Linked DNA regions of Kluyveromyces lactis. The main gene of each other region encodes a partner of the protein of the gene in region 5 in a complex. Links are inferred from orthologs where the notes say so. Each region holds a gene or a part of one and is shown on either strand. Other genes may lie near its edges.

What was found.
Region 1: the proteins of RPC53 (region 5) and RPC37 are in contact, whole or in part, in a cryo-EM structure (PDB 7Z0H), measured with the Saccharomyces cerevisiae proteins. The link is inferred for Kluyveromyces lactis from reciprocal best matches to the Saccharomyces cerevisiae genes RPC53 and RPC37. Residues at the interface, in NP_010131.1 of Saccharomyces cerevisiae: Arg195, Ile196, Gln198, Leu199, Phe200, Leu223, Ser224, Glu225, Lys226, Leu294, Lys295, Met297, Asn298, Asn299, Lys300, Pro301, Glu302, Arg303, Phe304, Met305, Val306, Phe307, Gln308, Leu309, Pro310, Thr311, Arg312, Leu313, Pro314, Ala315; in NP_012950.3 of Saccharomyces cerevisiae: Ile71, Glu72, Glu73, Phe74, Pro75, Leu76, Lys77, Ile78, Glu81, Glu83, Ser84, Leu85, His86, Val87, Phe88, Gln89, Tyr90, Ala91, Arg93, Pro94, Arg95, Leu96, Val97, Arg99, Ala102, His104, Tyr112, Trp119, Asp126, Gln128.
Region 2: RPC53 (region 5) and RPC11 share a complex: the UniProt entries of both Saccharomyces cerevisiae proteins name them as parts of the RNA polymerase III (Pol III) complex. The link is inferred for Kluyveromyces lactis from reciprocal best matches to the Saccharomyces cerevisiae genes RPC53 and RPC11.
Region 3: RPC53 (region 5) and RPC34 share a complex: the UniProt entries of both Saccharomyces cerevisiae proteins name them as parts of the RNA polymerase III (Pol III) complex. The link is inferred for Kluyveromyces lactis from reciprocal best matches to the Saccharomyces cerevisiae genes RPC53 and RPC34.
Region 4: RPC53 (region 5) and RET1 share a complex: the UniProt entries of both Saccharomyces cerevisiae proteins name them as parts of the RNA polymerase III (Pol III) complex. The link is inferred for Kluyveromyces lactis from reciprocal best matches to the Saccharomyces cerevisiae genes RPC53 and RET1.
Region 6: RPC53 (region 5) and RPB8 share a complex: the UniProt entries of both Saccharomyces cerevisiae proteins name them as parts of the RNA polymerase III (Pol III) complex. The link is inferred for Kluyveromyces lactis from reciprocal best matches to the Saccharomyces cerevisiae genes RPC53 and RPB8.
Region 7: RPC53 (region 5) and RPC17 share a complex: the UniProt entries of both Saccharomyces cerevisiae proteins name them as parts of the RNA polymerase III (Pol III) complex. The link is inferred for Kluyveromyces lactis from reciprocal best matches to the Saccharomyces cerevisiae genes RPC53 and RPC17.

Annotation. Positions count from the first base shown.
Region 1 is NC_006042.1:1,291,499-1,294,134, forward strand, and holds RPC37 (DNA-directed RNA polymerase III subunit C37), read left to right. Parts: upstream 1-1,377; coding exon 1,378-2,136; downstream 2,137-2,636. Other genes in the region: DBP7 (putative ATP-dependent RNA helicase), read right to left, coding at 1-730; GCN3 (translation initiation factor eIF2B subunit alpha), read right to left, coding at 2,197-2,636. UniProt on the Saccharomyces cerevisiae protein: DNA-dependent RNA polymerase catalyzes the transcription of DNA into RNA using the four ribonucleoside triphosphates as substrates. Specific peripheric component of RNA polymerase III which synthesizes small RNAs, such as 5S rRNA and tRNAs.
Region 2 is NC_006042.1:1,707,819-1,709,998, reverse strand, and holds RPC11 (DNA-directed RNA polymerase III core subunit RPC11), read left to right. Parts: upstream 1-1,341; coding exon 1,342-1,680; downstream 1,681-2,180. Other genes in the region: ORC2 (origin recognition complex subunit 2), read right to left, coding at 1-965; HEM13 (coproporphyrinogen oxidase), read right to left, coding at 2,128-2,180. UniProt on the Saccharomyces cerevisiae protein: DNA-dependent RNA polymerase catalyzes the transcription of DNA into RNA using the four ribonucleoside triphosphates as substrates. Component of RNA polymerase III which synthesizes small RNAs, such as 5S rRNA and tRNAs.
Region 3 is NC_006040.1:383,854-386,688, forward strand, and holds RPC34 (DNA-directed RNA polymerase III subunit C34), read right to left. Parts: upstream 1,593-2,835; coding exon 501-1,592; downstream 1-500. Other genes in the region: NNR2 (NADHX dehydratase), read left to right, coding at 1-368; putative ATP-dependent permease ADP1, read right to left, coding at 1,880-2,835. UniProt on the Saccharomyces cerevisiae protein: DNA-dependent RNA polymerase catalyzes the transcription of DNA into RNA using the four ribonucleoside triphosphates as substrates. Specific peripheric component of RNA polymerase III which synthesizes small RNAs, such as 5S rRNA and tRNAs.
Region 4 is NC_006042.1:96,875-101,130, forward strand, and holds the start of RET1 (DNA-directed RNA polymerase III core subunit RET1), read left to right. Parts: upstream 1-1,456; coding exon 1,457-4,256. Other genes in the region: TFIIH/NER complex subunit TFB2, read right to left, coding at 1-782. UniProt on the Saccharomyces cerevisiae protein: DNA-dependent RNA polymerase catalyzes the transcription of DNA into RNA using the four ribonucleoside triphosphates as substrates. Second largest core component of RNA polymerase III which synthesizes small RNAs, such as 5S rRNA and tRNAs.
Region 5 is NC_006039.1:1,432,947-1,436,017, reverse strand, and holds RPC53 (DNA-directed RNA polymerase III subunit C53), read left to right. Parts: upstream 1-1,356; coding exon 1,357-2,571; downstream 2,572-3,071. Other genes in the region: rRNA-processing protein SAS10, read right to left, coding at 1-953; autophagy protein ATG9, read left to right, coding at 2,986-3,071. UniProt on the Saccharomyces cerevisiae protein: DNA-dependent RNA polymerase catalyzes the transcription of DNA into RNA using the four ribonucleoside triphosphates as substrates. Specific peripheric component of RNA polymerase III which synthesizes small RNAs, such as 5S rRNA and tRNAs.
Region 6 is NC_006040.1:610,602-612,790, reverse strand, and holds RPB8 (DNA-directed RNA polymerase core subunit RPB8), read left to right. Parts: upstream 1-1,251; coding exon 1,252-1,689; downstream 1,690-2,189. Other genes in the region: putative iron-binding protein ISU2, read left to right, coding at 1-443. UniProt on the Saccharomyces cerevisiae protein: DNA-dependent RNA polymerases catalyze the transcription. of DNA into RNA using the four ribonucleoside triphosphates as substrates.
Region 7 is NC_006042.1:2,114,253-2,116,669, reverse strand, and holds RPC17 (DNA-directed RNA polymerase III subunit RPC17), read left to right. Parts: upstream 1-1,449; coding exon 1,450-1,917; downstream 1,918-2,417. Other genes in the region: CRH1 (transglycosylase), read left to right, coding at 1-1,140; VTC4 (Vtc4p), read left to right, coding at 2,145-2,417. UniProt on the Saccharomyces cerevisiae protein: DNA-dependent RNA polymerase catalyzes the transcription of DNA into RNA using the four ribonucleoside triphosphates as substrates. Specific peripheric component of RNA polymerase III which synthesizes small RNAs, such as 5S rRNA and tRNAs.

The DNA.
Region 1 (2,636 bases), on a different chromosome or scaffold from region 5:
CTTGATAAATTTGGTTGGCCAATTCTCTTGTTGGTGTAACTACAAGTGCAAAACATCCAGATTGTCTTGTGATATTTTGACCCAACGATAGTATGCTTTGGAAAATTGGTAATAAAAACGCCAATGTCTTACCAGAACCAGTTTGTGCATGAATAAACAAGTCGTTTTGTGCTTGTAAGAATGGTGGGATAACCAACTTCTGAATCTTAGTTGGCTTAGAAATCTTCATCTTGACGTTTAAGTGTGAAACCATCGTGTCAGTGATACCGAACGAATCGAAGGTGTCACCAACCAATGGTGCATTGGAATAAGTCACTTCGGCTTTTTCATCATGAGCATTACTATTGGTAACTGTGTCAATATTTCTACTGGACGTGAACAAAGAGGAAACGATTTGCGAGTTTAGCTGTAATGGTTGCGTTACCCTAGCTGGTTGTTCTACATTAGAACTGTTATCAAATCTTGATCTCTTAGGTTCTACAGGTGCCTGTGCCGAAGTTGAATTCGAAGAGGAGGCTTCCAATTCTTCAAAAGTTGGTGCTCCATCAGATTCTAATGGTCTCTTTTCACCCCTGACCCTCGGTTTACGACCTTCCATCATCATTTTGGCCTTTCTCCTGTCCTTCCATTTACCACCGGTAATTTTACCTCTACTGACTGTTTCACTAGCATCACTAACGTCAGTTGTAAAATTTAACAGCATTCCATCATCGTCATCATTGAAACTCATCTTTACCTACTTGATGATCGTTGATATGGGCTGCTGAGCGACGTACAGAGACTTTCACTTCATCTAATGTCAGCTCATCGCACAGTTAAGTCCTACTTCCATATTAAAATTTTCTATGCTTGATGTCAAGAAAAAGCAATACAAAGGTAAATACTCACAGAATTGGATAAAATACAGTTAGATTGGCGACTATCAGGATCGTTTGAACTGGACATTTGACACTGTAGTGGTTCGTGCTATGTACAGGTCATGTTATGTGCTGAAATTGATATCTCTTTGGTTTCATTACTGATTCAATTCTACAAACCTTGTCTGAAGTTTAATGTTAAAGCATATTATATACACGTAGAAAGGCAGATGGACAGAGACAAAAGTCGCTTATGACAAATATTAATAAGGTGGTGATGAAATACTCGCCCAGCCGGTATGGAACCAGTTGGAAGGTGATAAACCATCCTTTTACAGACGCTTCTCTCTTCTTGTTTCAATGATCACAAGACACGGCTCATCGCATCGATTGAAATTTTGACATTTCGGATGAGAAGGCTCACTCATTAGTACAACTAATGAGTGTTGAACCACTTGTACAACCAACTATTGTCCTGTTTCTATCCAGGTATCTGTAAGAGGGTGTCAGTGGTCTCAAAATGTCTAATGGTTTGTTTGTTACCGATGAGGACGGTGATACTGAGATGAATGGGAACGGTAAACTCGATAAGAAGCTCCAATCATCAGAGATTCTTAAAGAAGACGATCCAGTAGTGAATGAAATACCCATTAATTTAACGGTTGGACCTTGTCCATTGCATGTGTTACAGTTTCCTAACAAACCTAAAAGACTGGCGAAGAATATGGATGAACATCCTCCAATTGCTGGTGTACGCTATAAGGATGAATCAAGCGTTTGGGAGATAGATATCCCATTGAATACACAGGTCTTCTTCGACAAAGAAAAAGCTGCTGAGTCTTGGAACAATGTCGACGTTCAAACTTTGAAAGGTGTGGCTGTAAGCAACGACATGTTGCAATACGCAGGCGTTATGAAACAAGGACAGCTATATTTAATACCAGTAGAGAAAGTTGCCCAAATGAGACCATACTTCCGTTACATCGATTCGCATCAACAGGTTAAGAAGGACGAGGATGCCAAGGCGAAACCTGCGAATCCAACTGCCAAGAAAAACCAGGTAATAACAATGTCAGTGAAGAGTAGCAGCGAAGCGAATCAAAATAGACTAGGAGGTGCATTGCTAGCTCATAAGGTAGCAGACGAAGAGGAATTCAAACCTTTGGAATGGAAGGACGATACTTTCGAATCGTTTGTAGAAGAAGTTACAAGTGAAAAAAGTACTGTACCATTAAAACCAATGGACAACGACGCTGTGTATCTATCAAAACTATTTTAATTAATTATCGTATTTAGTAAGTATAAATATATATTAAACCGAGAAGGGATCAAATTCTCCTTAATCATACCACATCTTAATCAACTCCTCAGAAACAGCACTAGGTGTCAACCCTCCAAGATCAGTGATCAAAGCTGTGATGTATTCTTGACTTGTAAAGTCGACAGAAGGCCCACTCAATGGTTCTTCATCGTCTTCTATACCGTTTTTGCTAAAATCTAATGGATCTCTTTCCATTGGAATATCATCTGACGAAAGAGGGAACATACGTACGAACTTATGCGACTCACTAACCACATAGAATGGTTTCCTTGCATTCTTCGCCAAGACACCGATAGAATACGTTCCTACTAGATTGATAATACCTCCAGATTCAGCAACACCTTCGGCTCCCACAAAGATCTTGTTTACCTTATGGATGATCGTACCAACAGCATTATCTACAATCATTGTCACTGGGATACCCTTCTTTTTAAGTAAATGATACAGTTGCAACCCTT
Region 2 (2,180 bases), on a different chromosome or scaffold from region 5:
TTTTGAATATCCGGGTTTTGCAACAAGGCGATCTTCATAGAAAGAAAGTTGAATGCAAATGATTCGAGGAATTTCTTCTTCGATCCGATACCATAGAATAATAACGTAAATCCCTGCAGTAACTCGAAAGTAAACTGCTGAAAGAGTGTTTCATGTATTTTTTGTACTGCCTTTGTCGATGAACGATGGAATATATCATTGGAAAGTTGAGAAAGAATGTTATATTCATCTCTGGAAATACTTGGTGCCGAGGACATCGAGTTCTTGGATCTTTTATCAGTTTTTAGGATCTTGGTCTGATCTATGAAACCTTCGAAACCATCGAAAAAATATATTTGAGATTGTTCATCAGATGTTTGGTCATTATTATCGCTCTTTGGCAACTTAGTCGGTTTGAAATTAGGGTTCAAGTTCAATTTCAGATGCTTATACTGCTGGATATCGTCGTATGCAAGATCATCGTCTATAATTTTATTCCTTTGAACTGTATTTCTGGTAGTCTTTCTTTGGGGTGATGGTTCTGCATTAAATGTAAGTTTTCTCCTAGGCGACTTATTAGGTGAGCTTTCATTAGAATCTATTTTAATTTTTAGATCCTCGTATTCGTCGTCATTGTGTATCAATTCATTAGTATCTGACACATAGTCAATGGCATCATCTTCCTCCAACTTCACCCTCTTGGTTGTTTTCCTTTGCCTTCGCCTGGGAGTTGCAGTATCTGTCGATGAGTGCTTCCTACTCTCTTCATCTTTATATTCAGTCTCAATGCTAACAGACTCTAATGTGAGCGATCGTTTGGGTGACTTAGGTCGTACCGTTTTGGAAGGCGAAAGAAAATCAAAACTTTTAAGTTTCTTCGGTGACTGATATCTTACTTTGGAAGGTGATATGAAAATGTCTTGGTGATTTACAATATCAATGTCTTCTTCTTCTTCCTCATTATCACTGCACTCTTTCTTCGTCATGTTTTCAAGGTTTAACCGCTCCAAGATAATCAAATACTCTAAAGTCTAGAGAATGGAAACTAACTTATAAATGTGGGAGTTGTTCTTCTATCAAACCTCGCCCACAGGTATTAACCCTATACACTATATTTGACATACAAACCTTAAATGTCAACATAAATATCGATTCAAAGTTAAAGGCATGAAGCTCTACTTTTTTTTTTCTGAAAAATTTCTATATGAGATGAGGAAAGAATTAAAACCTACTCTCAATAATTATAGCGATGAGGTTCATTTTAGAGTGTATGCGATAACGTGTTGAAGGAGCTTATGGGCAGGTAACGGTGCGTTAACGTATCGTGTTTGAGGAGTCTGACATTGAGAATTAAGTTGTAGGATGCTTTCGTTTTGCCCATTATGCAATAACATGTTGTTGGTATCAAAAGCTGATTCAGGTCTGTATAAACTAGCATGCGGATCATGCCCATACCAGTTTTTAATTGATGGGATAGAGGTATACGATAGAAAGAACCTCCCTAGGAAAGAAGTTGATGATGTCTTAGGTGGAGAAGGTGCATGGGATAATGTTGACCAGACAGCAGCACAATGTCCGAACCATGACCAATGTGCGGGTGAAAGAGCTTACTTCTTCCAGTTGCAAATCAGATCTGCAGATGAACCTATGACAACTTTCTACAAATGTGTTAACTGTGGTCATAAATGGAGAGAGAACTAGAGATTGTGTATTTTTGAAATTTACTTTGATTTCGATACGCATCAAACAAAATATTATAGATCTTCTTAGCAGTTATTACATCGCTTAGAGCAAAAAACTGACAAGAAGATAAATGTTCGGCTTTAATCGCTGCCATTTGTCTCTCGCCCAGCTAAAAACGCATGCTTAATCTTTCAAATGATGAAAGGTAGATCACGCTTTCATTAGGCTCGCAAAAGGAAGTTGTTAGGGTTTGATGAAACTTCTTCTGAATCAAAGTGTAATATAATGTATAAATCTACAAATAGATTGAACAAGACAAAATAAAAGTATTGTCGACGGCCTGACAGAACCATTTCGTGCAACGCTGTATGGTACTAACGACCGACTTGGTTTTTGAAGCGTAAGAAATTAAGATCATTAGAAACTAAGAATTAAATACATGAGACGTTACATAAATAAAGGCATTCAAACCCATTCAACAGGGTTCTTCAATACTTGGAGTAATTTATCTTCTCTAG
Region 3 (2,835 bases), on a different chromosome or scaffold from region 5:
GTATCACTGTTGCAAAGGGACAAAATGACATTATCGTTAATTCTCAAGGTGAACGTTGGGAAAACGACGTTCAGGGATCTATGAAAAGATGTGGTGGTCAGGGTGACACACTGACCGGTATAATCGCAACCATGTTTGGTTTCTCTCGTGCAGTGCATGATTTCAAATTGGAAACAATAGTAGAAGAAGGTAACGGAGAAAATCTTCCTTGGTCCAAAATGGCTATGCTATCTTGTTTCATCGGATCTACTGCAACAAGAATGGCTAGCAGGGCTGCTTATGATAAGGTAGGCAGACAATTGCAAACTACTGACATGAACAACATGGTGGGAGAAGTGTTCAATGAGTTATACCCTCCTTCACAGTGAACCACTGAGAAAGAAAAAACAGACTCATAAGTTGAACGCTTTTATTATTAGTTTGTAATTAGTTCTTGGCATATATACATACATCAATTACGAACACTCTTTTTATGACTAAATTACCTTTGCATCTAAACTTCACAGCGTCCATTCGTCAAAGTATAGGACATCTTTATCTGAACTGGAAGCTGCCATGGAATTTCCGTGACTGAATATAGAATATTCTTCTCTTTTCGAACTTTGTTGTCCCCCAACAGGTTGAGTCATCTGTAAGACACTTTGCAACGTTACTCTGAAGCAATCAAAAGATACTTTCTCCAACTTATCGTCATATACAAGAACTTCGCACAGTGATCTAATATCTGGTTTCGTTAGTTGTTCTGTAGATATTCCTGATTCAGAAATAAATTCAAGGATCTCTTCGATCGTGGTGTAACTTTTGACGTTACTGGAATAGAGTGCGTCTCTACCGTTTTCGTCGGAAAAGTTGTTAAAACCATTTGGATATGTTCTTTCCGCTGTGAATCTCCAAACGATGGTCAGAAGACTGTTTATAAACTCAACGTCCAATTCACTATCTGTGAACCACGGACCACCTGTTACGTCAATGGATGGTTGCAAATTGTAAAGCATGTATATCTTTCTGGTTGGGTATTTGACACTCTTTACACTCTTTACGTACCTCTGTGATTCAAGTGATTTTAAACATTTCAGAACCACATGTTGGTGTAAATTTGTCTTCGCCTTGATCGTTTTCGTCCATATACCCTCTCTTCCACTAGCTTCGATGTATGAGTAGACAAGAGCCTCATCTGAGCTCATCCCGCTTTTCTTTTCTGCTTCAGCTGCATCTACTGCTTGGAACTTAAGTTCTTTATTCTGTTTCACTAACTTCAATAGATTCTTATCCAAAAGTTCCTGAACATATTGCATTAAATCACTTAACGAGCAGTTGTCTAACATGGAAGTTAACTCTTTTTGAGAGAACAATTTACCAGTTTCTTGAGAACACATCTTCTCATGCAGCTCTCTGGCTGGATCAGAGAGCTTTATTGTTGAATTAAATAACGAATTCATTATCGGTTTCGAAGGAAAATACACCGTTTGCGTTCCTAACAATAATAGAGGTAGGCCTAAATAATGGTTCAATAGATCAGTTTGTAAATTTGTCAGGCGTCTGACTCTTTCATCAATTATTAGTTCGATAAGTTGAACCATTCCTCTTCTCATCGCGTGCTATTATTTTGAGCTTTGATCAGTTTTTTTTTTTTGAATCCATTCCAAAAGAAAAGCGGCAAACAGATGGAAGTTATACACACAATATAGTCAATGGAGAACATAAAGAGATCCGATACATGAAAGTACTTCTATCAATAAATGAACTTCCCTGTACTAGGCTTACGGTAATAAGAGTTGTATTCTTTTGAATATATATGAACTTTCAGTATTAAATAGATTCTAATTTTGTGTTTGAGTGGCTGTTCGTCACTCTTTTTATAAGCTCCATGATTTTTTGATCACTTTTGCTCAATAACTATCAACTTAAGAGCGAAATAGCCGAATATTAGGAATATGACATTGAATAGCGCTAGTATTTTGACATCGAACACTAGGTTTTGTACGATGAAACCGAATGTGCTTAGGATAGTGGCACCTGGGATTTCAATATTGAGACCATACTTCTTCTCTCTAAGAACCAAAGACTTGACTTCATTGATAATCAAAGATTCGTAGGCGTAATAGAACACTGAAAGGTTCTTCAAATATTTGAACAGAATATTGTTAATATCCTTAGTGTTGATGAATAATCCACTGAATAACAAAGAACCAAGGATTATCAAAACACTGATTATAATCGAGTTATTCAAGTCTTCAAAAATGATACCAACTGTCAAAATCTCCAGTGAGATGGCAAGGTTGAATAAGATTAGAATACCTTCAAATTTGAAGAACCCATTATCATTCATATTTAAACCAACCAAAGGATAAAGTATTAACCCAAGTAGGATAGGTGGTACCACACGTAATGGAATAATATCAGATAGTATTTTTGAAATGTAATACGCTAGCGGAGAATAGTAATGATTGGAACGTTCCTTGATAAAAATCAATCTTTCCAAAGAGAAGGAGCTTAACCCAGTGAATGTCAGGAAACCGAAATACGTTAAAATAAAGAAGAAAAGGCCTAGTCTGTTTTGGAATCCACTGATATCGTTTTCAACATTATAGTATAGGATACCCAGGAATAAACCCAAAGCTACCGTCAAGACGTAGTTACCTAACAATAGCTTTGGATTCCTGCAGACATTTTTGAACGTTCTTGAACTCAAAATTGAGAGTTGCTGCAAGAAAGTTGCCGCTTTGTATGCTTGTGGAATTCTTAATTCTTCGTTTATACCGGCAGACAAAATTTCATTAATTTCAAACTTCAGTTTCTGGAAATATGCACCATCTTTGAAAAGAGAATGTAATA
Region 4 (4,256 bases), on a different chromosome or scaffold from region 5:
TAGATTAATCCGTAATCTCTCATATCCTGTAACATTGTTCTCTGCGTATTACTTAGTTGATCGCACTTATACGCCTTCCCTAGCTGTAATGCACCTAGCATGAAAATGAAATTTAGAACATCCACGGGATCCATCTGTAAACTTTCTGCCATCTTCAAATATTGAAGAAGAAGAGTCCACATCTGTGCATTGACATCTTGCAAGAGAAATTGGAAACCTTGGTTAGTAATTTTGAGTTCGCCATATTCTGCCTCTTCCATTAGACCACTATGCTGCAATAAGTCTAGAACCTTTCCACCAGGAGTGTTTGTATTCGGTGTTCCCACCATGTAATGCAAGATTGTTTCCCACTTTTCTGCACTATACTGGTCCAAAGTAGCTGTAGATACGGGATTGGTATCATCATCCGCAACATCACCAAAAGAGTTATTGATTTCACCACCAGTTAATACATTTTTGAAAGATTTCTTGAAAATTGGATTCAAACGAATCAATAGAGGTTGTTTACTCTCACCTTCTATTATAAGATTCAAGGATTTCATCGATTTAATAGAGTATTGTAACTGGTATTTCGCATCTGGCTTGACCCATTTATCTAAATCTCTAAGCGAGACATCGTGGTCCTGAAACAGCATCGACATAATGAAGAATTTTGCCATGGGAGAAAGCAATCTATAAATTGCCAAACATGTCGCTGGAGACTCATATAATCTTGATTGGACTTGCTCTGGAAGACCTTCTAGGTAGTCATTAACGGTGGTCTTGAAAAGATTCAGACTCATAGTATTGAAAATATGCAGCTCAAGGCCTCTTGAAATAGCAAGAGATTAGAACCAAGTGAGGAGATCAACAATTTGGTCACGTCAATCGATAATGTTATTTCAGCCTAATACGATTTGCTGCATTCGAACGATGCAATGCATCCATGATATCCGATTTGGAAAAGCTCATCTGAATCAATAGTACTTAAGGTTGATACCATGTCAAATCCAGACATTCGCATATTGAAAGTAAAATATATGTCACGTGTATATATATCATGTAACACGAAGAAATGTATCTTGCACGTGACTGAAAATTTGTTGATGACAGAAGAAATTTCTTTTCACTCTGTCAGATCAATTTTGGAAAATGAAAAAGATCAAATCAAGCTCATCTCGAATTTGAAATAATCGAAATACGCCAATGATTAATGTAGATGAGCTCTGTCAATATTGATGGAAACAAAGAGAAGTGCATTTATTGGCAGTTAGTGACTGTACTGATTTGCTGACCTCAACAAAGATTTGATTAAGTGAAATTTACTGGTTGGCTCCTTCTTTTTTCACTTTCAGTAGAGTAGCTTTGTTTGGTCTTTTTGCCTCTTTTCTAGATATTTTGTTTGATTAACTGTTTGGAACACTAATTAAGTTTGGAAAGGGTAGCTTTCAAATATCCTGATTGAATATTCTCTAAAATGAACCACACTGACTCCCATAATCCTGATGGCTATGAAAAAGATGAAGCGTTCGATGCTCTTTTGAAACCCGTCTTCAAAGGTAAAAAGCTGACTGACGAGATCAACACTGCCGAAGATAAATGGAATCTTTTGCCTGCCTTTTTAAAGGTGAAAGGGTTAGTAAAGCAGCATTTGGACTCTTTTAATTACTTTGTGGATGTTGATTTGAAGAAGATCATCAAAGCTAATGAGGTTATATTATCTGATGTCGATCCAGAGTTTTACTTGAAGTACATTGACATTAGAGTAGGATACAAACATAACGGCAACAAAGCTATTATGACCCCACCACATGAATGTAGATTACGAGACATGACATACAGTACTCCTATCTTTGTTGATATTGAATACACCAGAGGAAGATCAATTGTGTTGCATAGAGATGTGGAGATCGGTAGAATGCCCATAATGTTGAGATCAAACAAATGTATATTAGATGGTGCAGCAGAAAATGATATGGCCAAATTAAATGAATGTCCCTTAGATCCAGGTGGATATTTCATTGTTAATGGTACTGAAAAAGTCATCTTAGTTCAAGAACAATTATCTAAGAATCGTATCATTGTGGAAGCAGATGAGAAGAAAAACATCGTACAAGCTTCTGTTACATCTTCCACCCACGAAAGAAAATCTAAGACTTACGTAGTCACCAAGAATGATAAAATATACTTAAAACATAACTCTATCGCAGAAGAGGTTCCAATTGTAGTTGTTTTGAAGGCTTGTGGTGTTGTATCTGATTTAGAAATCATGCAGTTAGTTTGTGGTAATGATAGCAGTTATCAAGATATCTTCGCGGTGAATCTCGAAGAAGCTGCCGAACTAAAAATATACACGCAACAACAAGCCTTAGAATTCATTGGTACTAAAGTTAAAACTGTCAGAAGACAGAAACTTTCCATCTTGCAAGAAGGTATCGAGGCCATCGCTACGACAGTCATTGCTCATCTGACAGTGGAAGCTTTAGACTTTAGAGAAAAAGCATTATACATTGCAATGATGACTCGTAGAGTCGTAATGGCTATAGATAACCCAAAGATGGTTGATGACAGAGATTATGTTGGTAACAAGCGTTTAGAATTGGCTGGTCAATTGATGTCATTGTTATTTGAAGATTTATTCAAAAAGTTCAATAATGATTTCAAGGCAAACATCGATAAAGTCTTAAAGAAACCAAATCGTGCTGAAATGTATGATGCCTTACTAACCATTAACGTACATTCCAACAACATTACTACAGGTATGAATCGTGCAATTTCAACTGGTAACTGGTCTTTGAAACGTTTCAAGATGGAAAGAGCAGGTGTTACACATGTCTTATCCAGACTTTCTTATATTTCAGCATTAGGTATGATGACAAGAATATCCTCTCAATTTGAGAAATCTAGAAAAGTTTCAGGTCCTAGAGCCCTACAACCTTCTCAATTTGGTATGTTATGTACCTCAGATACTCCAGAAGGTGAGGCCTGTGGTTTGGTTAAAAATTTGGCATTAATGACCCATATCACCACCGATGATGAAGAAGAGCCTATAAAGAGGATTTGTTACTTGTTGGGTGTGGAAGACATAAGTTTAATTGACAGTGCTTCAATTCATTTAAATTATGGTGTCTACTTAAACGGTACAATCATAGGGACAACTAGATTTCCTACAAAGTTTGTGTCTCAATTCAGATGTTTAAGAAGAACTGGTAGAGCGTCAGAGTTCATCTCTATATATACCAATACACATCAAAAAGCAGTTCATATTGCTACTGATGGAGGAAGAATCTGTAGGCCGTTGATAATTGTTTCGAACGGGCAGTCTTCTGTTACTGCAGACCATTTAAGATCTCTTCTGGCTGGAAAATTACAATTCGATGATTTCTTAAAACTGGGTTTAGTCGAGTATCTCGACGTTAATGAAGAAAACGACTCGTTCATTGCATTATATGAAAAAGATCTATCTGAGAATATTACGCATCTAGAAATTGAATCATTTACTGTCTTAGGTGCAGTTGCTGGTTTGATTCCATATCCTCACCATAATCAGTCTCCACGTAACACTTATCAATGTGCGATGGGTAAGCAGGCTATTGGTGCAATTGCATACAATCAATTCAAAAGAATTGACACCTTATTGTATCTAATGATATACCCTCAACAGCCTATGGTGAAAACCAAAACGATTGAATTGATCGATTACGATAAACTTCCGGCAGGTCAAAATGCTACGGTGGCAGTTATGTCCTACTCCGGTTATGATATCGAGGATGCGTTAGTTTTAAATAAAGCGTCCATTGACAGAGGTTTTGGACGTTGTGAAACTCGTCGTAAGAACACCACCGTGTTGAAGAGATATCCAAATCATACTCAGGATATTATTGGTGGTATGAGAGTTGATGAAAATGGTGAGCCTATATGGCAACACCAAGCATTAGGCCCTGATGGGCTAGGTGAAGTTGGAATGAAGGTTGAAAGTGGACAAATTTATGTCAATAAATCTGTTCCAACTAATGCGTCGGATAGCATTCTAACTCAAACACAAGCTCAGTACAAGGAGACTCCAGTGGTATATAGAGCTCCAGAACCTTCTCATATTGATCAAGTTATGATGTCAGTTTCTGATAATGACCAGGCTTTGATCAAAGTTCTATTGAGACAAAACAGAAGACCTGAATTGGGTGATAAATTCTCATCGAGACATGGTCAAAAGGGTGTCTGTGGTATCATCGTAAAACAAGAAGATCTTCCTTTCAACGATCAAGGTGTAGTACCAG
Region 5 (3,071 bases):
TCAAAGCGTATTGCTTCTGTGTCCGGTAGTTCGCTAGCTTGTCTCCAAATTTCTTTACACTCCAAAATACGCTCCATTACCGGATGATCTTTCATAGAAATGAAATCTTCGTTATTCTGTAATTCATATAAGAAAACTGCAAAATATGAACTAATTGTTCCAAGATATGAAGATAATGCCATAATTTTGATCTGAATCAATTCATTATTCTCCTCAGTTTGTTTGAGTTTCAGCTCGTCTAAAACGGGTGATAATTTACTGAATTCCTTTGATAAAGGAAGGTATTCTGGGAAGGATGTCTTCAAGAAACCTTCCTTTCTCTCTAAGTCCATGTTGAGAACATCCCTAAGGGAGATTTCAGTAGGACGTTCTTGATCCTTTTGATCTTTAAATTGACCTAAATCGAATTCCTTAGCTTCTTTTACCCATTCTTCATCAACTTCATCCTCAAGATAGTCTTCCATATGAAGGTCTTCCAAATGTTTCTTCTGTTGGCGCAAAGCTTCCTTTTCTATCTCTCTTGCAGTCTCTTCATCGTCCAAGTCATCGGCACCGTAGTATTCTGCCTTAGAAGCACCCCATGCGTTCTCATTGTCCAGCATAGTACCACTCTCTTCTTCTGCATTCTCACCAACGTCTAATTTCCTACCAAAAACCTTCTTATACACAGCTTCACCTGTTAATTCTTCTTGTTCACTTTCATCATCTTCAACTTCTTCACTTTCATCCTCACTATCTTCATCTGACATTCCCATCACTTCTTCTTCTTCATCCACTGAAAGATCAAAATCATCTTCTGGTTCCCTTTGATCAAGACCTGCGTCCTCAAGTAGCACTTTTTCTCTCTTGTTTGCAAAGTCATCGACCTCATTCATGCCATAGGCAACATCTTCTTCCTGGTCTTGTCTACGATTAGACCCTCTTTTTGAGACCTTTGCACCTCTCTTTGCCATATTTGAAGTACAATGTCCAGTACAATTTAAGTCCAACTCAATATACAGTCGATTACAGCGGCTGATAGTAGTTACCTGTTATGCAGCTTGTCATTCTCTTAGTTATACCTATTCTCTGAATTGAGATGAGATGAGATGAGCTTTAACTTTAAACAAAATTTTCCAACATTGCTTTTTCAAGATTTTTCACCAAAATTGAAAGCTGCACTACTACTGGAAGAGATCACAATGAGATGAGCAAAGTTGATGCGCAAATAGTCAATGCAAGGGTTAGTATCCAGTAACTAGTCTTCGTTTTCATATTAGGATTTGCTGTTGAACGAAGAAACGGTCGAGAATCGCAGTATTAAACGCTTGAGTCAAGAAGTTATTTGCATCAAATTGTGATAGGAATCAACTAAAGATGAGTGGACGTTTACCTGGATTGAACCAGGGGAAACCATCAACCGGAACCTCGCTGAAGTTTAAGCCCAAAGTGGTAGCTCGTAAATCTAAGGAGGAACGAGATGCTAACGTTCTGAAGGTAGAAGAGCCGAATAAACAGGTTGAGAAGAAGAAATATACACAGAAACCACAGGGCAACCAGAAGAGGCAGCCGAAGTATTTAAACAACACAAGAATTATCACATCAGGCCCATTGGCAGCTGGTAATTTCTCTGGAGGATCTAATAAAGGGAATAATGGATTCATTAAGACGGAGGGTTCTCAAAGCAGTCTTGTGCAACGCGGTTTGAAAGCTGTTTCTGATGATGAAGCAGAGGGATCGGACGCAGAAGATTCAAAAGCTGGGAAGAGAATTAACATGGGGAAAGAGTATACAGAGGCAGACTTCAAGAAGGAAACTGACGATCTGTTTGATGAAGATGAGGATTCTAATACTGATGCAGCCATGAGTGAAGAGACCAGAGCCTCTAAACAATTGGCCAATCTTTTCCCTGTCAGGGCAGTTCGTATCAATCACGAAAAGGTGGATTCTCTACAGAAAGTTGTCCAGGAATCCATGTCAACTTTGCAGACCAGGGAACCAACACCAGGACCTGTGAAGCTAGAACCAGAACAATCGGATGGTACTTTAAATGACATAGTGAACGAGAAGGAACAGCAGTTAAAAGAAAAACTGCGTTTGCTTCAACTTCAACAAGATTTCCAATCTGTTGACAGCGCAGAAGCTCTCAGGGAAACAAATTTGTTATTTGAGGATCATAAACATATGTACAAAAAGTTAAACAAGATTAACGACGTTCCAAATAAGTTTATGTTCTTCCAGTTCCCATCAAATCTACCTGAATTTCAGCCACAACCCCCAGTGAAATCCACCGAAGAAGATGTAAAGCCAAATGGTGAAGCAAAAGTAGATGAAGGAAGTGAACAATCAAATAGTAAAAACAGCAAAGAAACACAAATAGATTCACCTGAGCCTTTGATCGGAAACGTTGGTTCAATTAGAATGCATCGATCCGGCAAAATGTCAATCAAGATCGGGGACGTCGTAATGGATATCAGCAGGGGCGCAGAGTCTACATTTTTGCAAGACGTGGTTACACTAGATTTGGAGGGAGAAGAAGCGGAGCTACTAGGCCAAATCGACGGAAGAGCGATTGTAACACCACATATCTAATTATATAGATTTCTGCATGTACATGATAGTTGAAGAAAAAGCTCAGCAAATCAATTCGTATGATAACATTAATTTAATGTAGACAACTACATCAAGAATGGGAGATTCAAATACCACTGCGAACACAATCAGCAGCTACTGCATAGTAACCTAATAAAGATGCATCGCCTTTTCAGGTTATAATTCCTGAAATCAGAATAGTCATTAAGTACGAGTTGATGTTTGGATATGCAGGGCTCCATTACAAAACTTGTTCATGTATACAAGGATTCCCTTAAAAATGACTTCAACAAACACAAAACAAGGTATAATCGAAAGGACACTACAACCATAACCTTACCTCTCACGGTATTTAGTCAGTTGATTGAATCAACTTGAAAAGTTTGGATCAATAAAATTTTGGAAGTCTGAGTTATGACGGATAGTCAGGATAAAGTAAATGGTGGATCCAAGAACACATTTCTATCAAGAGTGTTTGGTGTGCACTCATCTGCTGTAGA
Region 6 (2,189 bases), on a different chromosome or scaffold from region 5:
CAACTGCTCCTACCGTCGGCTCTAGTCCTTCCATGGCCTCTGCTAGATTTTACCATCCAAAGGTCATTGATCATTATACAAACCCAAGAAATGTTGGGTCTCTAGACAAGAATTTGCCAAATGTTGGAACGGGTCTTGTCGGTGCCCCAGCTTGTGGTGATGTGATGAAATTGCAAATCCAAGTTAACGACGAAACAGGAGTGATAGAAAACGTTAAGTTCAAGACGTTCGGGTGCGGGTCTGCCATCGCTTCTTCTTCATACATGACCGAATTGGTCCGTGGGAAAACCTTGGAAGATGCAGCAAAGATTAAAAATACAGAAATCGCCAGAGAATTGAGTTTACCTCCGGTTAAATTGCATTGTTCTATGTTGGCTGAAGATGCCATCAAGGCTGCCATCAAGGATTACCAGGCTAAGAGACCTACAACACAGTTGAAATAGAGTGTTAGAGTTAAGAGTTAAATTAATTAGTTAATCTCTAATTTTCTTATTGCTTCTCCGGCTCAAACTTTCATTTGTCCATTGAATGGACTTTAGCATACTCGTCTTTCCCTTAATTCTTTTGGTTTGACTTACGATTTTCCCTCGCATTTTAACTCCACTACAAAGTTAAATCGAACACTATATTTTTCCGAATATATCATACAGTTTCTGAAAGCTATCTAGGAGAGCTAAATTCCAAGATTAGGTACTTCCATTTATCGTGCCTTATCAACTGCCCATGATTCGTAATTTTTTTTTTTTTTTGGCTACCCTTTTTTTTACAACAGTTGTTATCTAGTGTATAACTAACATGTAGGTTCATTCATCATTTGTATTATAATCATCCAGACTGTTCCGACAAGCGTTTCAACTAGTTGCAGAGTTGAGCGGACCGTCTCTCTGTATCCTGGATTCTTCGGACTTCTAAGGGATGGCAAATTGATTAGCGTTACCCGAAGTTGTTTCTTTTACCCGGACACATATTTTTTTCATGGGCAAGAAAAATCTTGAAAAATTTCGTTGTAACTCATCGCCTGAAGGAACAACTGAGAGACAGACAATCATATACATGTGATGCGCTTTCGATTCGGCTCACTGTAGATAGTCTCATATCAGCAGTGAAATTATTAGTTTGAAACCTTTCATACCCACTACAGACTCTCCGATAAGTTCCCTTCTTTTTCGTCTCTCATTTGTGTTCCTACTGGCCCACCGACTTTAATAACTAGAACCAACACAACAGTACTCTCATTTACCAACACACGTCATGTCATCGGCACTATTTGATGACGTTTTCACCGTTCAAGAAGTGGACACAGGAAGATACAACAAGGTCTCTCGTATTGAAGCTCAATCGACTTCACAAGAATCCTGTAAGTTAACATTGGATATCAACAGTGAATTGTTCCCAATAAAGACTCAAGATCAACTTGCAGTCATGATCACAACTTCTCTCCAACTTGACGGATCGGAGGAACCTCAGGGTACCTCTTGGAGAGCACCACCTGCTGGAACCAGATCTCTTGCAGATGATTATGACTATGTCATGTACGGAACTGCCTACAAATTCGAAGAAGTTAAGGGTAACAAGGATTTGCTTGCAGTATACTATTCATTTGGTGGCTTGTTGATGAGACTTGAGGGAAATTATAGACTTTTGAACAACTTGAAACAAGAAAACGCTTACTTATTGTGTCGTAAGTAAGAAATCTTGTGGGTACTATATATCATAGTCAAAATAGAAAACCGACAACTGTATAATAGACTTTCAGGTCAAAGCTCTGGTTCTTCACTCCTCCGGAAGCTACGGCCTTTACTTACACCTCTCCTCATATATTAATGCATTTTTAACTTTCCATCTTAGCTTCCTATCTTCAAACTGTTCTTACTTCCAGTCACCACAGCATAACGAAGTTGCTCTTTCTTTTGCTCGAGGATTCTTCAATTCTGTGCTTCTTTGTATAAGAGGAGATACCATAGAAACTGTTAAAGCCGTCTTTTTTCTCGAAAATAGAAAAGTTAGGATCCAATGACCTCAATAAATAGGGTTCGGCCATTGCCAGTTGATGGCAAAATATTCGAGACGGGCGTTGAAGGAGCATATTAGCAGTAGATATATAAATATAGAAGAAGGTCTATTTTGTTAGGTTACCCATATACAGGGGTTATTAGTGTTCAATCCATATTTTTTTTGATTCTTTGGCG
Region 7 (2,417 bases), on a different chromosome or scaffold from region 5:
ATTATGTTTGGTAAAGTTCAAGCGATTGCCAAGGCTGCCGGTGGTCAAGGTATTATTTCCTCATTCTATTTGCAAAGTGATGATCTTGATGAAATTGATATCGAATGGACTGGTACTGATACTACTCAAGTTCAATCCAATTTCTTCTCCAAGGGTGAAACTACTACATTTGACCGTGGTGCTTTCCATTCGGTGGACGATCCTCAAGGTTCTTACCACAATTATACCATTGATTGGACTAAGGATGAAATCAATATCTATGTCGACAGTGCACTGGTAAGGACTATCACCAGTGACAATGGTCAAGGATACCCAGAGTCTCCAATGCGTATTTTCACAGGTATTTGGGCTGGTGGTGATTCCCAAAACGAGCCCGGAACCATTGAATGGGCAGGTGGTTTGACCGATTATACCAAAGCTCCATTCAGCATGTATTTGAAAGACGTTATCGTTGTTGATTACTCCACTGGTACAGAATACTCATACTCAGGCACCGATGGTACTTGGGAATCTATTGAAGCTAATGATGGTGAGGTGTATGGTAGATATGATCAAGGAGTAGCAGATTTCGATAAGTTAGCTTCTGGTGGAAGCGTATCAGACGACACTTCATCTTCATCCTCCTCATCCTCCACATCTTCATCTTCAACCAAGACAAGTGCATCTCCATCTACATCCAAATCTTCATCCACTTCCTCATCCTCATCTTCATCCTCATCCTCATCCGCATCATCATCATCCTCATCCTTATCCTCATCCTCCCCCACTACGACTTCTAAATCTAGTACCACAATTCCAACTACTTCCACTGAAAGCACCTTGAACACAACTAGTGCTTCATCTACCAGTGCTTCATCATCCAGTATTACTGCATTGAACACAACATCTTCCTCCACTTCCCTATCATCTTCTTCAACTCAGTTGAATACAACTGAATCTCTAATAACTTCCACGGAAGAACTTGTGACCACAGGTTTCTCATCTTTGGTCACTACCACCGCTGCTGACGAAGAGATCACATCGTATGCCACTGGCGAGACAAGCTCATCAGCTGCTTTAACATCCACACAGTCAGAAAACGCTGCTGCTTTCAATTTACCGCAATTGCTTGCTATCATTCCAGCACTTCTACTTCTCTAATAAATAGTCATTTTGTAATATAAACTAACCTCGTTGAATTTTAATAGGTGCATCTTAATCGCTATGGTACCAGCATCAGCCATGCAACTGGTATGCACAAAGCAGGATACGTATACCCTGAGCACTTGTTTCGTTCATCTAAATCATGATACACGGGATTATTTTTCACCGCTTCGAATATATTGAAAGCCATGCAAAGAGAAGAGATGAGCTGAGTTGAGATCAAAGAGTAGCAAGTAATAAAGACTGTATCGGCCTATACTGAATTATCCAAGTAAAAAGCTTCTCATATAACAAAATTCCAAGAAAATGCGCGTGCTTGAGGAAAAAAACGCTTTTATGAGCGACTACGAAACTTTGCAGTTCCTCATATCATTACAGAATCAACACCGATGGACCTCTGGATCAAAATCAGACAGGAAACACAACAAACCATACTACCATCCAGAACTGCAAACGATAACCAGAGACACGGTAAGGTACATAACACAGCGTTCCACTACAGCAGAAGACCCAGAAGAACCAGAAACGTCGGACAAGACCGTACCCAATAACGCCAACAAATCCACACTGCTGAACCTAACTACAGACCAATTCTCAACACTAATGCAAGAATTAAATGCTTTCCCACTATACAAAGCAGAAAAACTACAAATAGTGAACCAATTACCAACAAACTTGGTCCATTTGTATAGCATAGTCGAAGAGTGCGAATCAAGACTTGACGAAGGTCAGGTGACCTCGCTTCTCGAATGCATCTCCCGCACGTGCCTCTAATTATTATACACCATAATACAATATCTATAATGTTTAAATGCTTGGAGAAAAAAATCACATATAACAGACCGAAATACAATGAGAAAAAAGATCAGGAACATGAGTTTCAATGTTTCCAAGTGACAGTATAAGGGAAAAAAGGGATACCCTAGAATAAAGTAGTTATCAGGGCTTCTGAGTGGGTTAGACTTGCATCAGGACCTTTGAAATAGCTGATACTGATAACGATGGTAAAATTTGGTGAACATTTGAAGCGATCTTTGATTCGTGAGTACAGTTATTACTATATCAGTTACAATGACTTGAAGACGGAGTTACAGGAATCCTTGGAAGCTAACAACGGAAAATGGAACGAGGATTTGGAGACTCAGTTTTTGGAGTCCTTGGAAATTGAATTGGATAAAGTGTACACTTTTTGCAAAGTGAAGCATAACGAGGTAGTGCGTCGTATCAAGCAAGCCCAGGAACAAGTTTCTGTCGCTGTGCGTTCTTTGGATACA